Linked DNA regions of Daphnia pulex. The protein of the gene in region 1 purifies or fractionates together with the protein of each later gene. This does not show direct contact. Links are inferred from orthologs where the notes say so. Each region holds a gene or a part of one and is shown on either strand. Other genes may lie near its edges. The genes, in order: ragulator complex protein LAMTOR2-like and sodium-coupled neutral amino acid transporter 9-like.

Region 1 (2,927 bases):
AGATAAAATAAGACTAAGAGATGAGGTACCACAGAAGGAAAGTAGGAAGCAAGTTTACCGTGTATTACAGTGTCATGAGGATGAATTAACTCAAATGGTTTCAACTATGTCTGATGGATGGAAATTTGAGCAGGTGTGTACACACAAGACAATCTTATTAGTTACTACAGACTATTTATTCTAATCTTTTTTTTATATAGCTAATAAATGTTGGGTCACAGTACTCTTATGGGAATGAAGACCATTCAGAATTCCTGTGTGTTGTATCAAGAGAGTGTGACAAGAGAGAAAGAGAAACAGAGCCTACTGATAGAGCCAAAGTAAGTATCTGCAATTTACTATTGATGGAAGCATTTAAAAATGTTGTTTCTTTATTTAGGTGCTTCAGCAGAAAGGGTTAAGAATGTAATAAGCTATGGGATTTTTGTACCAGGAACCAAATACTGAACTAAATTTATGCAGAGAACCAGCCTTGTGGGATTTTATCCACGTTGCAGCCATTTTGACACTTCTTGTTCACAAGTGTTGCTTTTTATTCACAAGTGCAATACAACTCTGCTTCACAGCTTCATTAAATTTTAGGAGATCCAAATTTGTATTATAAAAAAATGTTCATGATGCTGCTACTTGACGAAGAGGAGAATCAAGATAGTCTGCCAATGCCTTTGCTTTAGCATGAAGCATTCCAAAACACACATTTTCTTTAGCATAGAGACATAGAAGTAAATTAGCAACTTGGGCAATCACCACTTTCCCATCCTTTAAAGGCATTGGCAAAATTAATATTTGTGTTTACTAAACTTTAAATTGAATAATACCATGCAATCAAGAAGAACACATTCCAGGACATCTTCATTGAAGGCAACTTTCCCATTTTTAGCATATGCTGACCAAATGTTGCTAGCTATCGCTGCTGTCACTCGTGCATCCTTGTCCCCATAACCACTTGAAAGCCACAAAATTGTTTAAACACTATAAACAAATGTAAAACATTTTAACACATTTTGCTCACCTGTAAGCTAGCAACGCCCCCTCCGTATTTAAAAGCCTGCATAACAAATTAAGATAATAAATAAATAAAAATAACTAACAATCGTTAACTATTTTAAGGTATCACGCCATATTACAAAGTGCTTAAGATTCCGCCAGTGTTTGCTTGAGACAAGACTTGAGTAAGAGCTTTTGGTTTTAACATTCTTTAGATTTGTTGGTATCTTCTGTTTTGACACAAGCTGAGTCAGGGCTGAGTACAGCTGTTCAGTGTTCACTACTCCTCTTAGTCTCTTACTAAAAAAAAAAAAAACAAATGAATGCGGATGTTTCCTACATAACCAGGCCAGGCTGACAATCTCTTCTTCAGGCAGCGGCAGCGGCAGCGCCCCTTCCGTTGACCAGGGAATTTTTTCTCACTCAATCTTGTCAAATTCTTCTGCTGTAGGTGGCCTTAATGTATTCATTTCAGATTGGTCCAAAGGTGAATTTCGCGCCCGATTATTTTGACTTTGGTGTTTAATTACAATCATGATTACAATGAACTAAAGTTGCTTCTTGAAGTCAGAAATCATGCCGCCTCAAAAACCTTTGACTCATTTTTTTAAACCTCTTCAAAGTGGAGGTGTGAAGCGTACATTCTCAGAACTTGTGTCTGGCAATAAGACAGCTGAAGCCAAGAATGTTCAAATTGAAAACAAAGTAGGTTTTTTTGTTCTGTGTATACATGCCTGGTATTTTTTGTAAAGTCTATTCATTTTTAGCCTGTTGGAGAAAAATCTGGTGAGAAGACTGAAGTAGTTACTCCTGAAAAAAAAGAAAGAATGGGCACTAACCACTTGTTAGCGAAAATAAAATTGCAAGCGAAGAATACTTGTGCCTTACACCATAGTATTGGTCATTCATGGTTTCAAGCAATTGAGCCAGAGTTTAAGAAACCCTACTTTGGTGAAGTATGTACATGTTTCTTTTTTTTTAACTTTGAATAACAATTATTTTCATTTACCTACATTATTTTGTTTTTAGCTTAGTAAATTTCTGGGTTCTGAAAGATCAAAGTCCACCATTTTCCCTCCAGAACATCTTGTGTGGTCTTGGACCCATTTCTGTGATATTCAAAATATCAAAGTTGTTATTATTGGTCAAGATCCATATCACGGTCCTGGTCAAGCTCATGGTATAGTAAAAAATAATTACTTTTATGGCTTTTAAGATAAAGAATTGACATTACATTTTTGTTTCATAAAAAGGTTTGTGTTTCAGTGTTTTGAAAGGAGTTCCTCCTCCCCCAAGGTAATATTTAAAATTTTTACTTTAAAAACTACTGTGTCTAATTTTTGCAAAACTATTTGAAGTTTGGTAAACATCTTTAAAGAGCTGGCTTCAGATATTGATGGTTTTAATATTCCTAAACATGGTAATCTCACTGGATGGGCCAAACAAGGTAGACATTTAAACAAAATCAATCACAGTTTAACGTTTGTCTTAATCTTCAAATAAGAGTCACGTAAAATTGTTATATTGATATTTCACATATTTAGGTGTGCTCCTTCTTAACGCTGGCTTAACGGTCCGATCGGGCGCAGCAAATTCGCACAAAGACAAAGGCTGGGAAACTCTGACGGATGCCGTGATCCAGTGGATTAGCAGTAACTGCCAAGGTGTTGTCTTCCTTCTTTGGGGTGCATATGCCCAGAAGAAAGCTTTAGTAGTAGACAAGGTAACCAATTCATTTGTTTACGACTTCATGCTTAATTAATGTTTTTTTTTCTTTTCTTTTTTTGTAGAAAAAACACCACTTGCTGAATGCCCCTCATCCTTCTCCACTATCTGCTCATCGCGGATTCTTAGGATGTAAACATTTTTCAAAATGTAATGAACTTTTGCTCAAGCAAAACAAAACACCAGTTGACTGGTCTAAACTCCCCATTGAGTGA
Region 2 (4,529 bases), on another chromosome or scaffold:
ATTTAAAAACAAATCTGTGACTGTTCTACTTTTTAAATTAGCTCACAAGAGTTGAGAAATTTATGGATAGTGAAGTACATCACCGTTTGTCCATGGCCCAAATGTTGCAACCCGCCCCAGTTGCCCCACAGCTCCACCTGCCTGAATCCCCATTAATCTACAGCAATCGCGAGGCGTACATGGAAGATTTCAAGATTCTCGAGAAAAAGATTCTCAAAGATGTCGGTGATGTTTGAAAGAGAACGTGAAAAATAAACGATACGAGAACGTTATATATTGAAATCGGAACCGACCTGTCTAAGCGTAGCGGCCATCAATTGGTGACGACAAATTGGGCAATTAAATTTAGTAGACCACACAACATAATAAAACCGTGCACAATATACACCCATGCCGGAGCTCGGCCGTTATTCTGCTTCCTGTAAGACACGACGTACAATATACTGGGTAGTGTGAAGACGTAGACCAAACCACACAAAGCGCCGGAGAATCTGGATGAGTAAATATAAACGACCAATTAGCACGGCGATGGGAAACCCGGTTATCAATTCATTCGACTTGCGTACCTTGTTATGGTGCCGACCTGCGGCAAGAAGATGGCGAATACAACGCAGACGGACAGCAATATCACGTTGAGAGAAAATACGTGGTTAAAGCTGGGATAAATGGAATTAAAGAAAGCGTACAGAATCTGCGTTCTCAGGATGTAAGCGAGTAACGGAAAGACCGTCATCATTTGAAAGAGCAAAAAGACGCGAGCTATAACGGTTAGCGTATCCGAACGCGAAAAATTGTTCAACAAATTCTAGAAAGCCCAAAAGAAAAAAATTAAATTAATTCCTCGAAATCTTAATGAACGAATCATTTTCAATTACGTCTTCGATGCAATCCTTCTCGAGGGGAAATGTGAGGTAGAAAGTTGCTCCGATACCTAAATAAGTCAGCGCTACCAGGGTGTAGGCGATACTCAAATCACGGCCCTAAAACACAAAAGAAAAATTTTATTCAATGTAAGGCCAAAATGAGAAAGAGAAATGTAAAAATTACGTTGCACTCTTGGCGCCGATTGTTCTTCATGATGCTCACGACGCAATTGTGCAAGTACAGCGCCAAGGACAACATGCCCGACAAAGCCGGAAAGTTGGAGCGCAACAAAGGCACGTAGAAGGGTGAAGTAGTGTCGCTAAATTCGACGTGCACTCCCCATTGGGACGCTTTGGTGACAACGAATGCCATGATGTAGAATACCGAGACTGTGCCCAGTGCATTAAACTTGGTGAAAAAGGTGGCTGACTTTAGGCAGATTAGGGGCAGCAATAGGAGAGCCATGTAAATAGGAACAGTCAGATCCAAATTCCAAATTTTGTCAAAGGTAGAAGCTCCATTCTGGAATATCGGTCCATTCAGGAGTGACGAGAAAGTCAGATTATCGATCGGATCCGGACAAAACACTGTTAAATGTAAAAAAAAAAAAATGTAAATAAAAGAACAAATAAACATAACCTATTGAAACTCACGATTAAACGCCGAAGTATTGTCATCGTCCACGGACAACAGGGTAACAGACGTCGTCGTCGTAATCAGATCTGTTTGATTAAACAAATGATATATTTTTGAAGATTTTTTCGACCGTTCAAAATTTTAGATCGTATAAAATTGAAGTTCTTTACCATACACGTATTTGACCGTATGATAGAGGAAGTTGGACATGAGAACCCAGTACACCGCACTTGCCCCAAGTAATGAAAGTGCCGAAAAGAGAACGGAAACCCATTGACCGACACGCCCCAGCAGGAACATGCAGAGATCTGGAAAGTCCGCAAGATTTTCCTTCTCACCTGCAATAAAAACCAAACTGAATTACGTCATTCAAAGATACCATGACCGAAAGTAATATACCGTAGATGCCGTAAACTTGAAGGATACAAAAGGCAGTGTAAAAGCAGATGGCTGCCATGACAAGGATCAGTGACAATCCAGCTACCAGTCCTGCTTGCTCAACAGCCCATGGCATTGAGAGTAACGACGTACCCATCATTGTGTTCCAAACTGCAAATCTACAAAAATTTAAAAAAAGAATTGAATGTTGATTACAAGCTTTATCTTGTATAAAAAAATAAAAGTTGGAAAATGATTTAGTTACATAGTTATTAAACTGCTTTGTTTGCCAGTTAAAGGAACTGTGCCAGGAATGTATGGGTAGAAAAAGATGGATGGCACAACATGATCAGGTATCAACTAAACAAAATAATTTTGACAACCATCAAAGGAATTATCCTAAAACCAACTAGATACTACCATGAGACAGCAACTCTTATTTGTCTCATGTAAAAAGACCTAATGTTTGTACCAATGCTTGATCATTTCCAATGGTGGGTCCTCTTAATCTCTGGTAGTATTTATAGCGTGAGTAAGTAGCTTCCTGAGCATTATCGTATGGTACAGCATCAATCAAGACAGGGGATTCAGCACGATTTGCTGCAATGGTACTCTGTAAGTGGAATGGACGTCTCGTTCGTTGTTTTGAATTGGCATCCCGAACTCGTATTCCTCTTAACGTTGGCGAAGATCTGGTGGTTAAAACACAAGCAATTGCCAATTAGCCGACATTTGATTATATGCAACGAGAAATTCATTTTATTACCTGCCAAGATCTGATGATGAATCTAGTGTCACCTCACTAGCTACGTCTGAATCTGGTAATATGACGTCCACATCTCTGTTCATTGTTTAAATTAATTATAGAACTAATTCTGATAACTTCGTTGCCAACCGATGGGTCGGGTAAGTAAACAAAGACTAGTTTGAAGGAACTTGTTTTCGTGAGACCCATAGAACTTTGACAAGCAAGCAGACGGATGTCTACAAAACATGTGAAGCCTTCTGAAGCCTTATCGCACCGGCTAGTCCGTTGGAATGCAACAATACAAAACAATTCTCAAAATCTTTTCTTTGTTAAACCTAGACATAATTTTATCGTATTTTATATTTTAATTTGACCTCCAAAAAAGTTGTCAACAAAATTTCTGTGTTGTTTTTTGGGTGTATTTTTAAAAAAGGTTTTTAAAAAAAGACGTACTAGTAGTTAGTAGGTCAATGACCGAGCGCAAAGTGACAGAACTATGGGGCGGATTAAAATTTCATCTCGTTTTCTTATATGTTATTGGAATTTGTTGCATACAACATGCATTTCATCAGCTTTCAATATAATGCCAGACTCTCGATTTCTTGCGTCACGTGCCGTGATTAACTTGCTTTAGTCAGAAAACAAATGATCCGTCTTAGAACAGATGTTGATATGATAATGGAAAGTGCGCCATTAACAGTATATGGGGCTCTTCGGGATCTGTTTTATTTAGCCGATTTATCTGGCAACGCAGCATGGCGCCAGTCTTTTTTGAGGGAAGAACGGGGAGAAGAGGGAGAATGGGACGAGTGGGAGGGAGGAGGGCGTCCTCCCATTCTCCCTCTTCTCCCCGTTCTTCCCTCAAAAAAGACTGGCGCCATGCTGCGTTGCCAGATAAATCGGCTAAATAAAACAGATCCCGAAGAGCCCCATAGGCCTCATTATCATCTTTTTAATACAAATACGGTCACATGCAGTTAATCGTGGTGAATCATATATTTAGTATTAAATAAGTTAACAAGCAATGATTCAAGTAAAAGCGTCTACTGAACAAACAAGAATGGGGATACATTTTTTTAAAATGTGGTAATAATGTTGGCCAAATCGATACTTTTAATCTTATCATTATCTATTATCTAAAAAAGATATTTTGCGTAAGGGTTGTTTCCTGCTCTCCGTTAGATTTTCGGACCGTCCAATCACGACAACCTCCACGGCAATTGCAGCAAAATTGGTCACAATCACTGGAGCCACAACAAGGATCCCCCGGAGTTTCATCCCAACAGTTGCCGCTGGATTGCGGTTCGCAACAATCAATGGCCTCAACCGGATACGACACCATCCACAGAGTAATCAAAAGAATGAAAATGCATAGTGAAGACACCATTGTCTCAGTTAAATCTGTCAGTTAGCAAAATAATAATTTTCTTATTTTAAATTAAGTTCAACTAATACTACATAAATTTTAATAATTTTGACTATTTAAATATAAAAATGCAATTTACGGTTATGCAGGACTTTTTCTTGTAGACCGCTTTGTGCGTACCGAATTCGTCGATGACTGCGCTAGATGTAGGACAAACTGAGAAGTGATCACGGACCTTAAGAAATAAGAATGTTAGTTAAACCCTAGAGGAGCAAGATAAGGGACTGTGAGGAACGGATTTCATTACACATTTCTAAATAAGGGAAGGACAAGAGAGTCGTTGGCCTAAAGGTCAGAAATGTCGTAAAGTCGATGGTCGGGTAGGGTTTTGACAATGATTAACAAGAGGATAATGGTAAGGGCTGCAACACTAATAAGGTCATCGAGTCCACCAGAAGAAAACGTGTTGCTCGAAAGTAAAACTGATACCGTATACGCTTCAGCTGAGAAATATCAACTCGGTGATGAATTGAAATC

What was found.
Region 2: the proteins of ragulator complex protein LAMTOR2-like (region 1) and sodium-coupled neutral amino acid transporter 9-like purify together in Homo sapiens (co-immunoprecipitation; 5 studies listed by BioGRID and IntAct, with this or other methods). This does not show direct contact. The link is inferred for Daphnia pulex from reciprocal best matches to the Homo sapiens genes LAMTOR2 and SLC38A9.

The regions. Positions count from the first base shown.
Region 1 is NC_060023.1:11,050,170-11,053,096, reverse strand, and holds ragulator complex protein LAMTOR2-like, read right to left. Parts: upstream 1,308-2,927; 5' UTR 1,196-1,307; coding exon 1,128-1,195; intron 1,049-1,127; coding exon 1,013-1,048; intron 946-1,012; coding exon 819-945; intron 760-818; coding exon 613-759; 3' UTR 516-612; downstream 1-515. Other genes in the region: BTB/POZ domain-containing protein KCTD5-like, read left to right, coding at 1-133, 201-320, 380-409; uracil-DNA glycosylase-like, read left to right, coding at 1,564-1,692, 1,755-1,943, 2,017-2,167, 2,241-2,283, 2,346-2,434, 2,532-2,710, 2,778-2,927. UniProt on the Homo sapiens protein: As part of the Ragulator complex it is involved in amino acid sensing and activation of mTORC1, a signaling complex promoting cell growth in response to growth factors, energy levels, and amino acids.
Region 2 is NC_060019.1:7,950,046-7,954,574, forward strand, and holds sodium-coupled neutral amino acid transporter 9-like, read right to left. Parts: upstream 2,870-4,529; 5' UTR 2,728-2,869; coding exon 2,645-2,727; intron 2,571-2,644; coding exon 2,351-2,570; intron 2,239-2,350; coding exon 2,144-2,238; intron 2,058-2,143; coding exon 1,900-2,057; intron 1,839-1,899; coding exon 1,671-1,838; intron 1,587-1,670; coding exon 1,518-1,586; intron 1,452-1,517; coding exon 1,048-1,451; intron 981-1,047; coding exon 876-980; intron 806-875; coding exon 567-805; intron 492-566; coding exon 314-491; 3' UTR 255-313; downstream 1-254. Other genes in the region: dynein axonemal intermediate chain 3-like, read left to right, coding at 42-236.